3 linked regions of the Oryzias latipes genome follow. The protein of the gene in region 1 interacts with the protein of each later gene in a pairwise test. Links are inferred from orthologs where the notes say so. Each region holds a gene or a part of one and is shown on either strand. Other genes may lie near its edges.

What was found.
Region 2: the proteins of fragile X mental retardation syndrome-related protein 1 (region 1) and sytl4 interact in binary tests that used the Homo sapiens proteins (3 or more experiments, as listed by UniProt). The two-hybrid records come from large-scale screens. The link is inferred for Oryzias latipes from reciprocal best matches to the Homo sapiens genes FXR2 and SYTL4.
Region 3: the proteins of fragile X mental retardation syndrome-related protein 1 (region 1) and tbc1d22b interact in binary tests that used the Homo sapiens proteins (3 or more experiments, as listed by UniProt). The link is inferred for Oryzias latipes from reciprocal best matches to the Homo sapiens genes FXR2 and TBC1D22B.

The regions. Positions count from the first base shown.
Region 1 is NC_019876.2:28,852,515-28,857,678, reverse strand, and holds the start of fragile X mental retardation syndrome-related protein 1, read right to left. Parts: upstream 3,589-5,164; 5' UTR 2,938-3,588; coding exon 2,887-2,937; intron 1-2,886. UniProt on the Homo sapiens protein: mRNA-binding protein that acts as a regulator of mRNAs translation and/or stability, and which is required for adult hippocampal neurogenesis. Specifically binds to AU-rich elements (AREs) in the 3'-UTR of target mRNAs.
Region 2 is NC_019868.2:10,074,943-10,080,093, forward strand, and holds the start of sytl4 (synaptotagmin-like protein 4), read left to right. Parts: upstream 1-2,080; 5' UTR 2,081-2,497; intron 2,498-3,269; 5' UTR 3,270-3,393; coding exon 3,394-3,506; intron 3,507-5,151. UniProt on the Homo sapiens protein: Modulates exocytosis of dense-core granules and secretion of hormones in the pancreas and the pituitary. Interacts with vesicles containing negatively charged phospholipids in a Ca(2+)-independent manner.
Region 3 is NC_019865.2:4,890,381-4,895,514, forward strand, and holds the start of tbc1d22b (TBC1 domain family member 22B), read right to left. Parts: upstream 3,072-5,134; 5' UTR 2,865-3,071; coding exon 2,809-2,864; intron 1-2,808. UniProt on the Homo sapiens protein: May act as a GTPase-activating protein for Rab family protein(s).

The sequences.
Region 1 (5,164 bases):
TTCATTTCCCAGCAGCCCTTTAGAGCGGGCTGCAGCATTGGAGCAGCGGCTGTAAAAAGGAGCATCACATCTCCGACGCCGTTCTCTGGCTGCGGGTTCAGCGCTGAGCAGTGTGAGGAGAAACCGTCTGCCACACAAACTGCGTTCAAGTGCTCGCTCTCTGGCTGTAAACCGGCGGGAAAGGCTTCCAAACCACGCCGCTCAAGAGGACAGCGGCAAGGCGAAGCTTTCATGAGCAGACGCCCCTCAGCCCGGCAAAAGCTGCCCTTTAGGAACCAGACGGGTCAGGCGGCTGGAAATGCTGGGCCGGGTTCAGCGAAGGGCTCAGCTCAGGAAAAACACCTGCACAGAAAGCTGAACGTGACACTGTAACTGCGTGCACGTTGGATGAGCTGGGCGTGGCGCCTGATCCACATCTGGTTTGTCACACGTGTGGCTTCTTACACCTCGAGTCATCACAGTTTAGCTGCAGATTTCACCAAAGGCCTCGCTGTCATGCATGAACCGCGTCTGCAGGAGTGACTGAAAAGGCGTGGATGTGTCGGAGTGGAGGACCGACAGATTCCCAAACACAAGTGGAGGCCCATTCAATCAGAACAGGGTCTGACTGTGGACCCAAAGGGCTGCAAGAGTCCCAGACCAATTAAATAAGAATGGAAAAAGGGGTTGATTTAACTATCCAGAGTCAAATGTAGTTATTTTTGTCAATTTTATAGAAAATCTACAAAAAAACAACTAAATACAACAACAATGGCTGAAGGTTCTCCAGATGTTTTCAGGAATGACACCGGTACCGAGGTCCTTTGTTTGCCACGCCTGGTGCCTTGCAGTCACTGCAGGCAAAAGGGAATTTAACCCTCAACTCAATCCTGACATTAAGCTACACTCATTGATGCTCAGTCTGTTCTAGCATTTAGGTTGGTTTACTCTTGTGGGGGTGAAACCATGAACGGATTTCTGTTCCTACGATCCAACCTGATGGATCCGCCTGAGGAAAGTTGTTCATCGAATCAAAGTCGTAAAAATCATTGAAATAAATCGCTTATGTTGATATTGGAAAATACCATTTGGATTGAAAACGACCAATCACCGCTGACAACACATGGGATGACATCAGCAAACACGGATCAGTCTATCATTCCAGTCCAACGTGTGGAAACACTTTGAATATAGTCATGTGACCATCCAGTGAGCTAAACAACGGCGGGGACTCGTGGGCCGCCGAGGGCCGGACCAGCAGCTGATGCGTGGCGTGTCGTCCACCTCGTCAGAGAAAGAAATAACACGGAATCTGGATGAAAACATGCTTGAACTAATAAAAAATGATTTTATTTTAAAACGCAACATATTTGGATGATTTTGTTCTCATTTTAGAGCCAATGGGTTGATGTCCCTCAGGGGGGAAATAAGCCAAATTAGAGAAATGCTGCATTCAGGTGCGGTTGGAATTGTCAGAAACATCTGAAAAACAACAGATCTTCCAACACGAGTGCTGAATTACTTTCTACACCAAAGTAAAGCTCACTTTATCTGCAGAGCACCATTTATGAATTACAGGAAAAATAAAACCTTTGTAAGGATGATCAATTTAACTTTTCCCAGTTTGGCGGGCCGGATCAGATCCTTTAACGTGTGGCCCCCCGGGCCGGAGTTTGCCCACCCCTGTGCTAGAATGTTCCCTTTGGATTCTCTGGATGTGGAAACACAACAGCGCTGAAGTTTAGGAAACTAACATGTGAATGGATTTGACATTCATTCTAGTTTACTTGTTGGTTTGGACACAGATTTCATTTAACTTGATGATCTGGAAGAAATCCAAGAATCTGGAAAACTGTTCAGTAGCAGGAATTTCTGTCTGAGTCTCACTGCTGGAAGTTTGGATCAAGAGGATCTGGATCCACTTCAGGTCAGAGAATCAGAATGAAAAGATATCAAGAATAAACCGGAACCACAAGTGATATTCTTACAGCCCTATTTGTAACACGCGAACAGAGACGTGGGGAAAGTGAATGGTTGCATCTCCGATTAATACCTTTTGTTTGGAGGTCAATGCTTGGATTAATTGCTGTTTAAAATGCGAATAATGAGGCAGTTCTGTGGCGGTCAGAGCCTCACGCTAAAGTGGAAAACCGTCATTCATGCCAACGGCGCACTGACAACCAGTAAGACACACAACAGGTGAAGCTGCACAGGAGTAAATTTAGGACCATCACTGAACCCAGGGGGAGGGGGGTAGATGGAGCACATGGAACCCCCGAGTTACCAAAGTCCAGACCACTGGAGACCCATGTCTGCCTGTGGGACAAACCGGTTCAGATGTGTGGAAGCAGATGAGGAGTCTACTCGTTTCCATTGAAATAAATAGAATAATAACAATAATAACCCCCCCTCAGTGGAAGCACAGAGGGTGGGGGAAGCCTTAGGTTTGGTTTCTCAGTAAGATCAGCCAGAACTGAAACAGAAACCGTCGCCCTTCCTCATGTGAGGCATCAGCAGCCCAAAGCAGGACTGATGATGATGATGATGATGATGGTGGCGGTGAGGTCACTCCGCTTCTTCACGGAGCATCACCTCACCGACCTCACGACAGCTGTCTGGATCATCGAAACCCACCCCGTTCACAGGACCGAGCCTTCCTCCCACCAAACACCCCGAATTCAACCGAACTGTCCCGCCAACGTGACCCAAACGGGCCACGCGTGAAGACGACGAGTAGGAGGACCTAGCTTCACCCCGCTAACCAAAGCTAGCTAACCCGACCCGGTCGAACCGCTCCAAACCCGCAGCTAACTGACTCGGGCTCAGCTGGGCCCCAATTATTCTGGCTCTCCGAAGCCGGTTCTGGCCAAGCCGGACTTTGAGGCGGGCGGTAGAAACCCCGCTTACCTTGTAGAAGGCCCCGTTGGAGCCGCGAACCTCCACGGCCAGCCCGTCCATCCCCGTCGCCGGTGAGTCCGCGCGGCTGTGCTGCTGCTTGTCGTCCGTTGGCGTAACGGCTCCCTGCGGCTGCGAGTCCGGTAACGTTCCCGCCCCCAGCTTCGCCGGCCCCTCGCCGCTATCCGGCCGCTTGTGGACTTCCAGTGTTCCGGGTGGAGGACAAGAAGGGGCAGAGAGAGGTGACGGGTCCGGACCGATGGCAGGGATGATGTCTGAACCGCGGCGACGCAGACTACTACTGCCACTGCCAGCTGAGGGGGGAGAACAGCGCTCTCTTTGGGTCGGTTCTGGAGAATTCGCGACGACAACAAAGGCGCCGGCACCAGCAGAACCGAGCTAACGATGCCCAAGGAGCCGGAGGACGATGACTGATGGGTAATTAGCTTGGAGGCTAGCGTCTGTTTTCGGGAGTGCTAGCATGCTACAGTCAGATAGCCTGGCTGCGTTTGAGGGCTCGTGCGTGTGGCGTAATCTCCGCGCGGAACAGTCTCGCGCGCGTCGTCACCGGGGCGGCCGTGTCTTCGGTCGGTGGCGTGGTTCTCAGCGGCGTCTCTTCTTCACAAAGGCGTTTTTCAAAGCACCACCGCCCGGCAACTCCTCACAGCAGCCACCAATCCCCGCAAACACGCCGATTGACTGAATCGCAAAGGGACTGAATGACCTGAAAGGCCCCGCCCCCTCCCAGTGAAGCCCCGCCCGTCCTGCCCCCTATTAGCCTTCTGATTGGTCAGAACGGTCAACAATCACTTCCAGATCCCATTAATTGGTTTAGCAAATAAGGGCTGGTCCAGCGAAGGGGCCAATGAAATCCAGACAGTTGCCTACCGACGTCATTCATTGGTTGATTGTTCGTGTCAATCAAACATTTACTCATATGGACTGGCTCCCATGTCCAGGTTAGCCCACTCATGAATGAGCGAGGACCCCCACTTATTGTGTAAACACCACCACCACAGGTTACTATATATACTATACACCATGCTGGAGCTGCAAGAAAACGTTCATGCATATAAAACATGCTCCTAATATCCCCCCTAGATGCCCCCCCCCTCCCCCATTCACTACAAATGTAACAGAATGCTGGGGCATTTGAAGCAGCTGAATGAGAAGATATCCAGATTTGGACAAGGAGGCAGCTGTGGGACCAGCAGGGGAAACCGCACAGATAGCGCAAACGCCACGTATCGGCCCCTAATGCAATGTCTGCTACTGATGTCTGTGCTGCTCCTCTGAAGATCTGCGGCTAAAGATTAGGTTTGAATCACTGTCTGCAGTATTTGTGAAGCCGACCTCAGATTCCTTGGAGAAAAACCTTTCATGGAAGTACACGAACTGCACTGAGAAGATCCTGTTTGCGTCTTTTATTTTGAAAGCAGCTTCTGTCAATAGTAAAAATGCAATTTCACACTAGAGAAAATGCTAGTTTTTAAATAAACAATAAATACATACTATCACATTTTCCTAAAGCAGAGGTGAGCAAACTACACCCCAAGGGTTTCACATGCAGCCATGAAACTATTAAATCCGGCTCGCCAGAAAGATTAATGTTTTATTTTCTGGTGAGTCCCAAGATGGTGCACTACAAATACATGTACCTTTGTTTAGGTGCATAAAAGTTATTTTGCATTCAGGTGAAGTTGGAAGATTTGTTGTTTTTCTGACGTTCATGTGTGTTTTCCTTGTAGGACAGTCCGATCGTACTAACAGCACACGAACACAGCTTTTTTTCCCCTCAGTTTGTGTTTTTTCCTGAGGGACATCAACCCATCAGTGAGACTGGCAGTAAATTGAGAAAAATAAATCACAGTTTTGAAATTCCAAAATGTCCTGTTTTAAAATATATACATTTGATGTCAATCAATATTAAAGCAGGTTTTTCCAGTTCATTTTTTCTTTCTTATCAGGTGGATCAGCAAAACGAGCCACAGATCTGTTCCTGGTCTGGCCCTTCTGTCAAATTTGAAAGGGTAAAATAAGACGTTGCCGTTTCCACTAGGAATTGATCAGTAAGAAACAGGCCCAAATGGCTCTTTTGCAGTTAAAGGTAGTAGATTCAAAGATGTTATGTCTCTTTACCAATTTCAATGCAGAGAATTTAATACTGTACAGTATATACTGGTTTGCGGCGCCTTCCGTCCGTGAAACCCAGGTTCAAATCCGGGCTGCTCCCTGTTCCCTTCTCTACCTCCGTGCCGGTCCCAAGCCCGGTTGCCTTGAGAGGGTTGCG
Region 2 (5,151 bases), on another chromosome or scaffold:
ATGGCTCACATGATGGGGTTTTTCTCAGCCATCTGGCCTGCACTTGCTTGAGAGGGTTTGAAAGACTGTCAGCCAAATAAGGGAAAACAATCTGGAAGAATGAGGTTCATGTGTCCAGTCAAGTTTAATGCCAAGGAGTAATTAAGCATTTCTTGCAAGCTGTGATAGTCCAACATGTTCCCTTTTCTCTTGATTTGTATCCACTGTGTGTGTTTGTACTGCTTCTGTAAAGACTCATATGTGTTTTAATCAGAACATTTATGTAGTTTTACCTGCAAAGTCTAGATTCAGTTAAAGTATCAAACACGTGGTTTCCCTTGTTTATGATCAAACAACCACAATACTAAGCTATCCTATAGAACCTATATTAATGATAACCGATCAATAATATTTATATATGCTGACACTCACATAGGAATCAAGCCAGTTATTAAACGATTATTGGGCCTTTTTCTACATTACTGCTTCACTTTTGCTGTGTTGTATCCTTTTTGAATTACTAATGTGTGCTTTTATGTGTACTTTGTAGGTTATGTTTAGGGTCATCTGGATTTTAACACCCAAATGTTTTTTAACTTGTTAAAAAAAAACTTAAAATCCCACTCCGATAATCCTTTGATCTAAATTCAAAGCGTTCCCAGTGTTTTTAATTAGGGTGATCCCGTTTTTTGCCTAAATCACAAGTTCTGTTTCCTAGAACATAGTTTCTGCAGGAGTTTTATCGGGAATTCACCTCTAAGTTATAGACTGGACCGTTGGTGCAATGTGAGCCTTCCCACACTCCCATCATCCATCTGTTTACACTCTGTCACAGCCCCTCACACCTCCAACTGCTGTGACCAAAATGGCGAGCAAATTTGGAGCTATCCAGCCACAAACAAAGATGTACATGCATCTAGTCATTTACAAGTGGATGTATCAGAATGGAGCAGGGCCGGGAATTTGCCAACTACCTACATCACTGCTACAAGCTTTTCCAACAAGATTTTTTTCGTCTGCTCCTAATTCACAATTTAACTTTTTTTTAAATACTCAGAATCACAAATTTTAAGCGTAATTTTCTTTATATAGAGTGAAGACCGAAAGTTTGGACACACTTTGTGTGTACAGTCCAAACCTTTGGTCTACATCCTCCATCATGAGAAAAATGCTACCAGAAAATTTTAAAAACACCCAAAATGTAATTTTCATTGAAGTGGGTAATAATTGTTTATATTTTGCGCAAATATACTGGATTCCTTTTATGTTTCACGAAGCTAAATAAACATCAATATGTTACAATAATGAAGAGTGTAATCAGAATAAAATAATCTATTCTGTTATGATTTCAAAATAACATGGCCATGCTTGTTCCTGTATTTTGTTACGTTTCTCAAAGAAGAGCAGCTTATCCTGAACTGTGACTTATTTATAATTTTTGTTCCTTCTTTATCGTCCACTTTTTGGCTGCTGCAGCTTGTACTCCAGAACAATTTGTAGCCTGAAAAATACACTATATTTAAACCAAATTAGAACTGTATTTTTGTACAATAAGCAAAGAGTTTCTTTCTTTGTCAGGAGGTGCTAAGGACTAGTGGTCTTAAAACTCAGCAATTAAAGCACCACATTATTATGCTGCGTCTATTAGCAGGAACAGTCATGTTAATTTTTAATGTGAAATCATGGAAAACATACAAATGAGTGGGGAAGTGATTCACAGGAGCATCACAACCATTCAACACACTTATTTCCAAGCGTTATGTGATGTCTAACAACAATTTAAAACATCTAAAAAGTAAATAAATGACTAGTTGGTTTTTAAGTGGGGCAGCAGAGTTTTAACTGTAAAGGAGCAGTGTTTACTTAATGGTGCGTTAATCCCCCAAACACGCCTCAACAAATAATAATGGCACCTTCCAAAGAAAGAGCGACAAGAATGGCCTGTTCCGACTTAGAAAAAAAAAACACGTTTTACTTTAAAACTCTTGTTCGCTCTGGGTTAACGCATTTAAAGCTAAAAATAAAAGTTTTCCAAGTTTGGTCACACATAAAGGGGGGGGGGGTGATACCAATCAAGCTGGTGTTCGTGACTTTTCCACATTCTCTGATCAACAGTTAAGGAAACGCGTCTGTCGTGGAAAAGCGCTCGCGCCCGCCTGCTGCTGGGAACTTTCCTTTCATCTTCCGGTACTTGTTGGGACTCCTGCGGCGCCGCGCGCACCGAACTCCCTGCTCCCGGAGGCGAGGAGACAACCTGGCTGGAAGGGGGTATGGTTGTAGAAGAAGAGGAGGAGCGCTGTGCTGTAGTTTGTGGTAGCTCCACGACACTTGAGTGCAGGATTAGCATGTGCGCCGCTGTTTGCTGCGGTTTCTGTCGGTCGCGGTGAAGCAGAGCCGTCGAGCTTCTTCTTCACGCACGCAGGTGTGCGTTTCCTCTCAATTAGCCTGAGTGTGGACTCATTGACGCGGTGGCAGTCCGCAGAGGTCCTTCACTTCAGCGACCGCCCTGAAGAACAACGTAGGTTATCAAGTATTTTAAATGTTTTATCGACGTTTACCCTATTTAGCCTCAGCAACTCGTTGAAAATCACATCAAACGATGCTTTTTTTTCATTAGTCGAAATATCAATTCTGTTTTAATTTGTGATTATTATCAAAACTAATTATTATTTAGAAGGTAGCCATTCGCAAACATTTGTCATTTTCAGTTGAAAAATAAAATATGGCCTCAATAATGTGTTTTTAAAAACTCGTTTGAATTTTAGTGTTATTTCCTGTTCAATTGTAAGTTGCCCTCCTCCTCCTGCTGTCCTGCTGGTACATTATTATTTTTAGTGAGGCTCAGGCATTCAGAAAACGAGGAAAAAGCCTTTCCAGTCTGTGTCTTTGCCTATTCACTGTAAATTAGTTTATACATCTATATGAGTTTTAACTGACACCATAACAGATGATCACTGTCAGATGAAGATTAAATAAATAAACTGCTGAACTCCACCCTGTCATCTCTCTGCTGGAGGGTGGGAACCAGGCATGACATTCATGTTGTTTTACCATGGTTGACTTTAAACGACCTCACTCCCCGTCAGAGGCACTCTGGTGGATTTTTAGACGCCCCTACATGCTGGATCTGTATTCCCACCCATCAGGGAATAGTTGATAGTTTGCTTTACAGCTGCAGATTTATGTCTCATGTCATGTGAAAATGTTAATTTCTTGGCAAACGTATTTTAACCTTTAAAGGAGGTCTACTTGAATATGTGACTTTATATTTTTTGGGTTTGTTCTGCAAGGCTAAACACAGATTCAGCTTTTGCTGTCTTCCCAAACTGTGGCTTCCTCTTCATGGATCTTGTCTCAGTGGAACGGCTTTAGCCTTAAACCAGTTTATCCACACGGTTCCTAATTGAAATCGCCATGGCTCTGGAAATGATCAATCTGAGCTTCTTGTCCGACTTGGAGCGGGAGAAGATCCTGGAAGTGCTGAAACGGGACGAGGAGCTGAGGCTCACGGAGGAGCGGCGTGTACGGTAAGAAAACAGAAACTCTTATTCGTTTTTACAGTTTCTATAATCTGAAACATTTAACACATGTAAATATTTTAAGGCATGACTAGGACTGAGCATCACTGCCAAAAATACTGAACTGATTTGACATCGCTTCGATAACTTTTGACTTGATTTTGAATTTGATGCGATTTGATTTAATACTTATTAATCAAATTTCTATATAACCCAATTTTGTTTAGTTTTTAAAAAGTTTTCACACAACAACTGATATAAACTAAACAAATATGGAACTTTTATTACTAAAAATTCTCACATTTAAAACGTTTGAAAGCACTTTTTTGTTAGAAAAACAAGTGTAAGAAATTATTAGAAGACCCACTCTAATGGAAATAGATTAATGAACATCTTCATTTTTGTTTTTTTTACATTTTCTTGGAGCATTGTTCTTATGATGGAGGCATATGTGAAGGAAATTAGGATTAAAGTTTCTTTATTCAAATCAATGTAATTCAGGAGCAGAAGAACAAACACTGTTTGAAAGAGCTTGTCATTGCAGCTCTCCTCCGCTCCATTCCAGTGCATCCACTTGTAGACAATTATATCCATTAACGTCTTTTCGTAGCACCAGTAAAGTTAGGTTGAGGTTGTGAAGGGCTGTAAGCCAGTGGGAGAGAGTGTGAACAGAAGAGGTGATGGGAAATGAGTGAAGGCTTACTATCCACCAAGAGTCTAACCCACAACTCAGAGGTGAATTTCTAATAAACTACTGCCGCGCTGCAGAAAAAATGTCCTATAAAAAGTCTTTTTTTTAGATTGTTTTATCTAAAAATATAAATAATATTAATTATAAGACCTCTGGGAACACTTTTACAATAGATCAAAAGATGATTGGAGGGGAACTTTAACTGAAAACTTTTTTCTAAAGTAAAAAAATAAGATCAATTTGGTGTTAAGAGATACTTTTTTTTAACCCTTCAGCTCTTGGATTTCCTAGAGAATTTGGATTTTATGAAGTTATTTATTTAAATAATAACACTGACATGTTTATTGTTTCATCTATGCCAGAAAGTGTAGTAAATGTACTTGGAAAGCGTCTTCTTCATCCTGGATAAATGGCTTTAGCTCTTTGCTGATTTTAGGATAATTCTTTTAAAGACATTGGCATGATTGATGCTTGTTTGAATTAATTGTTCCTGAGCAGGTTCTCCTGCATTTTAGTTAGTATGGTGTTTCTTCAAGTAACCTGTTGCTTTATTATTCAAAGATTTAAGACTTCCAGGTTTTTACCACTATCAGGATCTGGGATTTAACCAAACTATCTCCAGATCTCAGCCCAGTTTTCCAGCTACAATATGATTCACTATGTCGTACCAGGGTATATCACCATGGTAACTTCTGCTGCACACATACTCACCTCCACAGCGGATCTGGGCTTGTCCAGAGTGAAGAAAGAAGCACATTTAAATTTAGAAATGCCTTCTTCTTAGCTTCTCCTCCGGGCTACAGATGTAGAAACTATCTGGGATTTATCTGGATTATATTTTGAAATTTTTCAATTTTTTTAAGAAATCGTTTCTCTGGTTTCAAATATCTTTTTTGTCATTAAATAAAACATTGAAGCCCTTTTTTTAAAACCCATAAAAGTTTTTAGATGTGCTTTGAGTGA
Region 3 (5,134 bases), on another chromosome or scaffold:
TCAAGGACAAGCAGCGAGACTGGCCACCCTCTTGCTCAAGCACACGTTTGTGTTTTGCCTTTCTCCGTTCTCGGCTGTTTTTTAGAGAAAGATCCGTTTGTGTGACAAAGGCAGCCACACCCTCTCCTTATCAGGTTTCCCAAGGAGATCCAGCTCCTCCTTTTCTGTCCTTCACACTGGCAGCCGCAAAACTCATTCCTCAAGTCATAAAATATATAAGAATTTCCCAGCACAAACGTCCCATCGATGAGACCAGACGGGTTCTCAGTTCTTGATGTATACACGAACCATAAGTGTTTTCCTGCTGCTCTTATTGTTGAGCGCCACAACAGCTGGTGAGCAATGTACGCAAGCTGGGACACGTTCAGCGCCAGGCTTTGTGTTTCATCAAATGAAACCGACAGGAGGTCTAAACAGAAATTCATACACCCACAACATGTTTTACAACGTCTGTTCTCTGAAGAGAAATTAGGGGAATTAAGAAAAATCAGCACAACATCATCATGAAGGATGAAAAAATCTGTTCTAAGCAAAGGGTTTTACACCCAGAGGAGACCTTAAATCCATACAAATACAGGATTCCTGAATGTATGCTTCTGAGGACATTTAAAGGCATTGTAGCAACAGTCAAGGGAGATAAAAACAGATTCTTGTTCAATCATAGAGATTAAACACAGAAAAGCATCATGAAAAATTGCAAGTTATCTGAAAGGCAGTGCAACTTATCCATAGAAGATAAACCTTCTGCTGTCCCGGAGCTTTTGTCCGTGTGGACGACAACACATCAACACTGGAATGGTAAACAAAAAGCATTAAGAAAACACCATACAAAAGATGAACAGACCATGAAACCGCGAAACAGCTAACCGGTTCAAACTGTCATGTACGCCGATGGAGCATTTTTCTGCTTCGGGGTCACAGAAGCTGGGAATTTGACACCAGGTTAGTCAATTATTAACTCCTCTGCTCCCGTCAGATGTGAGGCCCTTTGTCACAGACAGCTAAGGTTTGGTCAAAACTGGGATCATGTAACAAAAACAATGTTGTTGTGTCACATGACCCAGCAGGAAAACCCCAACAGAAGAGCGCCAACAGCCTCCCAGATACAAGCCTGAGCTGAACCCAACGACCTGAAGCAAACCTCCTATAACCTCTGCAGAGCATGCAACATGCTGACGTCAACAAACTGTTTGAGCTGGTATTCTAGCACTACAAACAACTCAGTTATTGGCTGTAAATAGTTATTTGACAGATTCCTTAAAAATCAAAATAAGACGAGAAGATGATGGCTTTAGCCAGTAAAGCTTTAGGCAGCTGTGGCTTGGAGGTAGGTACAGAAGTCATTATTTCCCTGCTTTTGAGGTGCCCTTGGGCAAGACACCCAACCCTTAGCCATGCTTGCCGTGGATGTGAGACTGTGGGTTTTGTGTGAGTGACTGGATGACAAACAAAGAGCTTGGTGAGTGACGCCTGCTCTCCACACCTGACCCACATAGTCTGATTCTGATGGTCAAGCTGGGAGGTCTGTGGATTTTTGAACCCACAGTCTCTGCATCTCAGGGTGGCCACTCTACCATTAGCCACTCTGTGTTTTATTGTCTGTTGCTTCTCTTGGCTAAAATACTCTAAGAGATGTCGGCGTTTTTTTTCCGCCTGTTAAACTGATGATAAATAAGACATGGTGAATATTTGCAAATGATTAGTACTTTGTTGAAACATTGCATGTTTCTATTTTTTTCTACTTATAATCTCATCTATGTTAATGTTTTTGTTAGTTGTGTCAGGGTAGTGTGTGTGTGTTTTCTATTTTTTTTTAATGCTTTGTTTGCCTTTAGTTTTTAATTTTGGCAGAGTCTTTTATTTTGTAAAGTACTTTGTGTCACTCTGAAATCTGTTTTGTCAATAAAGTTTGATTTGATTCGGTTAGCCGGCAAAAATCCGTTTTGTGGCTCAGCCACAAGACAATTTCTATTTTACATCTTTTTAACTCACCCTATAATCAAACCCTTAACAACTTAACAAAAGCCTATATTTTTTAGGACTTTAACCCAAAATTTCAGGTTTAAATTAGTTTATTTTACTGTAATTGCCATGTTAATTGAATGGGCGGACGCTAGCACGAAATGCACTTTTATTTACACCTTTTTCAATAGTCAAAATGTATTACTAATGTTGTCAAACTAATCAGACTGATGAACTTTTTACATGTACCAACAACGACGCCGGGTGAGTAATGACTTTAAATTAAGTTTTTCTGTAAACCTCTTTGGCCTCCATCTCTGGACAAAGATGGCGTTCATTACCAGTTCAATCTCTTTAAATATTATTGAAGCAGATAACTTAAAAAAACATTTTATTTTGCTCTACGGTGACGTGATAAGTGGTCAGAGAAGAGACAGTTACTAACTAGGCGGGATGGCACAGAAAAGCCCAGGGAGCATCCTGAGTGAGGAAAATGTAAACATGGAGCACTTTCCCGGCTGTCTGTCAGCCGCGCTCAGTGCAGTCTGGGAAAGCATATGGCGGGTGTGACCGTTGACACCCCCTCCACGAACGGCAGAAACCGCAGAGAGCAGAGATGGAGGGGCTCACATCTCAAAACCCATTCAATCATGGGGGGAAAAATAAAATAAAAACGTCCGAAGGAAAATGTGTAGAATGCGTTTATGAGATTTGTTCCTTTGACAGATCACAGGTTTTAGGTGTTTAATGGCTCATCGAGAGACTTAAACTTTAACAGCATCGGCAGGAAACTCGCTACGCAAACACAGTTTTATTTCAAACTGATATAAAGGTGAGGAAACCAACCTTCCGGGAACCTTTGGGTTTCTCCTCCAGAAATTGATCCTGTTGTCGGTGGCCATACTCGCACCCCCTCCCCTTTGCCTTCAGACCGGCTCCGGGCGCGACGGAACCATGGTTGTTCCGCCTCCGTGTCTCCCAGAAAAAGAAGGACCGCGGGCCCCGTTTAGCTCGCTTCGGAGAGCCGAACGGTCGATGGGCAGAAACGAAAAAGCTGCCGAGGCTACGATGAGGGAAACTGCGTCCTGTACGGCGCCATCTTGGAGAGTAACGTTCGGAGCGCGTGATTGGCGGAAGGAACGAACAGGTGCAGGGAAGGCGACCAATCAGAATGGCCGGCGGGGAAGCGACGGCCAGGGATGCTTGCTGACGAGGGGAACGGCCGAAACTTGATGCTGGTAAAGAAAAGTTTATGTTTTTCTGTTGATTTAAACAAAGATGGCGGTGTTTTGCAACATTTAGTGCTTTTGCTCTGTGAGGGGAGACCTGGAGGGAGTTACTGACTACACAGAGTTAAAGGCCGTGCTTACTTCAGGCTGGTGGGAAATTAGTAAAGTTGTCAAAAGGTTGTTAAATGTAGATATTTGATTTACAGCTGTCCTAAACATAGTTAGAAAAATGAAAGGGTTTAGTGGTGACTAGATGAAAGAAAAATATACAGGACAAGCATCTTACCTTCCTATACTTCCATTGTTTTTTAAATGACTGACTAAAATACCAAAATCCAGGCAGGTCTTGGTTCGTCTCTCTCATTAATTTTGAACGCGGTTCCTAAAAAAGGATTAATTATAAACATCCCAACAAACCAGAGATTTTCCAGGCTGACTTAACATTCCTAGAAGTTTCTTTGTTTCACTTCTTTGTTTAGGAAGCAGTACATTCAATTATTGTTTGTTTGTAATCAAAAATCTAATAGAATCATCACAGATCTGACTTTTTAAACTTAAAAAGCCTAATCTTAGATAATCTAGTATTTGCAGATTAAATGCGCTCTTATCTTTTGCATTATGCCGGGCAATTGTACAGTCAGTTCTGGTGCGTATTTTGTGAAAGGAAATCAAATCAGTTTTCCGGAATACTGTCTGCTTTTCACACGTAAAAGTAATCAATAATGATGAAAAAGTACCAAATTCACTGATAATTCATTTAAAATTTACATTGTAAAGTAAATGTGATAATAGAAACAAGCTTGTTCATTTTATTTCACTTGAATTCAAACATTTCACAAGCTAGATGAAGTCTAAAAAAGTTAAATGCAACTTATAGGAAACATTATATGAGGCAGATAGAGCTGTCTTTCTTAGCATATATAAGAAAAACTGGCTCAGCTAACTTTTGGAGCAGCGTAATACTAATGAGTCATTCAAGCGTCAGTTTCAGGGGACTCTGACATAACAGACCCACATTAGAGCGGATTATCTGCCTGGTTTTGTCTCCACCCAACCTACTACTGTTGGATCCTGTGTAACGTCATCACAAACACCGTTGTAGCTTAGAAACAGGCAGCTGTCACTCATTTCAAAAGAGGAGCAGCATGACTCATTCATAACATGAACACAAGAGTCGCAATCCATGAGACACACATAGAGACTGCTCTGAAATGTAAACGGCTTGAGTCGCATTGTTGCTCCTATAGGCTGCAAAAAGGTTGAGGCTGTGTTCAAAACTCATCTGCTGGTCTTTGATGGGAGCAAAGCTAAAAAGAGCTTCAGCCATTGGTTCAACACAGATGTTTACCTGCCATGTTAATGAAAGGCAAAGTGGATTCATGATCACAGCAGAAAAATCAAAACATTTCCTCTTTAAAGTCATCACTTCTGTTTTTTTCTTTTTTTAATCTAATGCTGAGTAAGGCTCCTGTTTCAGTTACACCTTCTGTCCACACGGGGTCAGATCAGGCCTCAAGTCAAAAGGAAACCAGTTCAACAACCATCTATTTACAGTAAACGTCAGAATGAGTCACTTTTCTTTTCAGCACATGTTTTTTTCACAACAGTTCTACAGCACCAAGAACACACACACACACACACGTTATTTATGATCCTTTATGGTTAAAAATTAAGCAAATTCCTCCATTTTTCTTTTTATCTTTGTTCAAATGAACCAAGTAGCTTCTAATGAGCGTTTTGGCCTCTCTTTGCTTCAGTCAAATGCAGTCAAATTGGGGTTTTATGCCACAGCTTGTTTTCATTTTTACCTGCCGGTGGGTGTGCATTTGGGCTGCAGGTGCTTCCCGTGTCAGTTTGTTTAAGGAAATCAGTGCAGCCTCCACTCACCTGGCTTCACCTCCCCGAGCGTCCAACGGACTTTAACTGACAAAATCCAGGTGAGG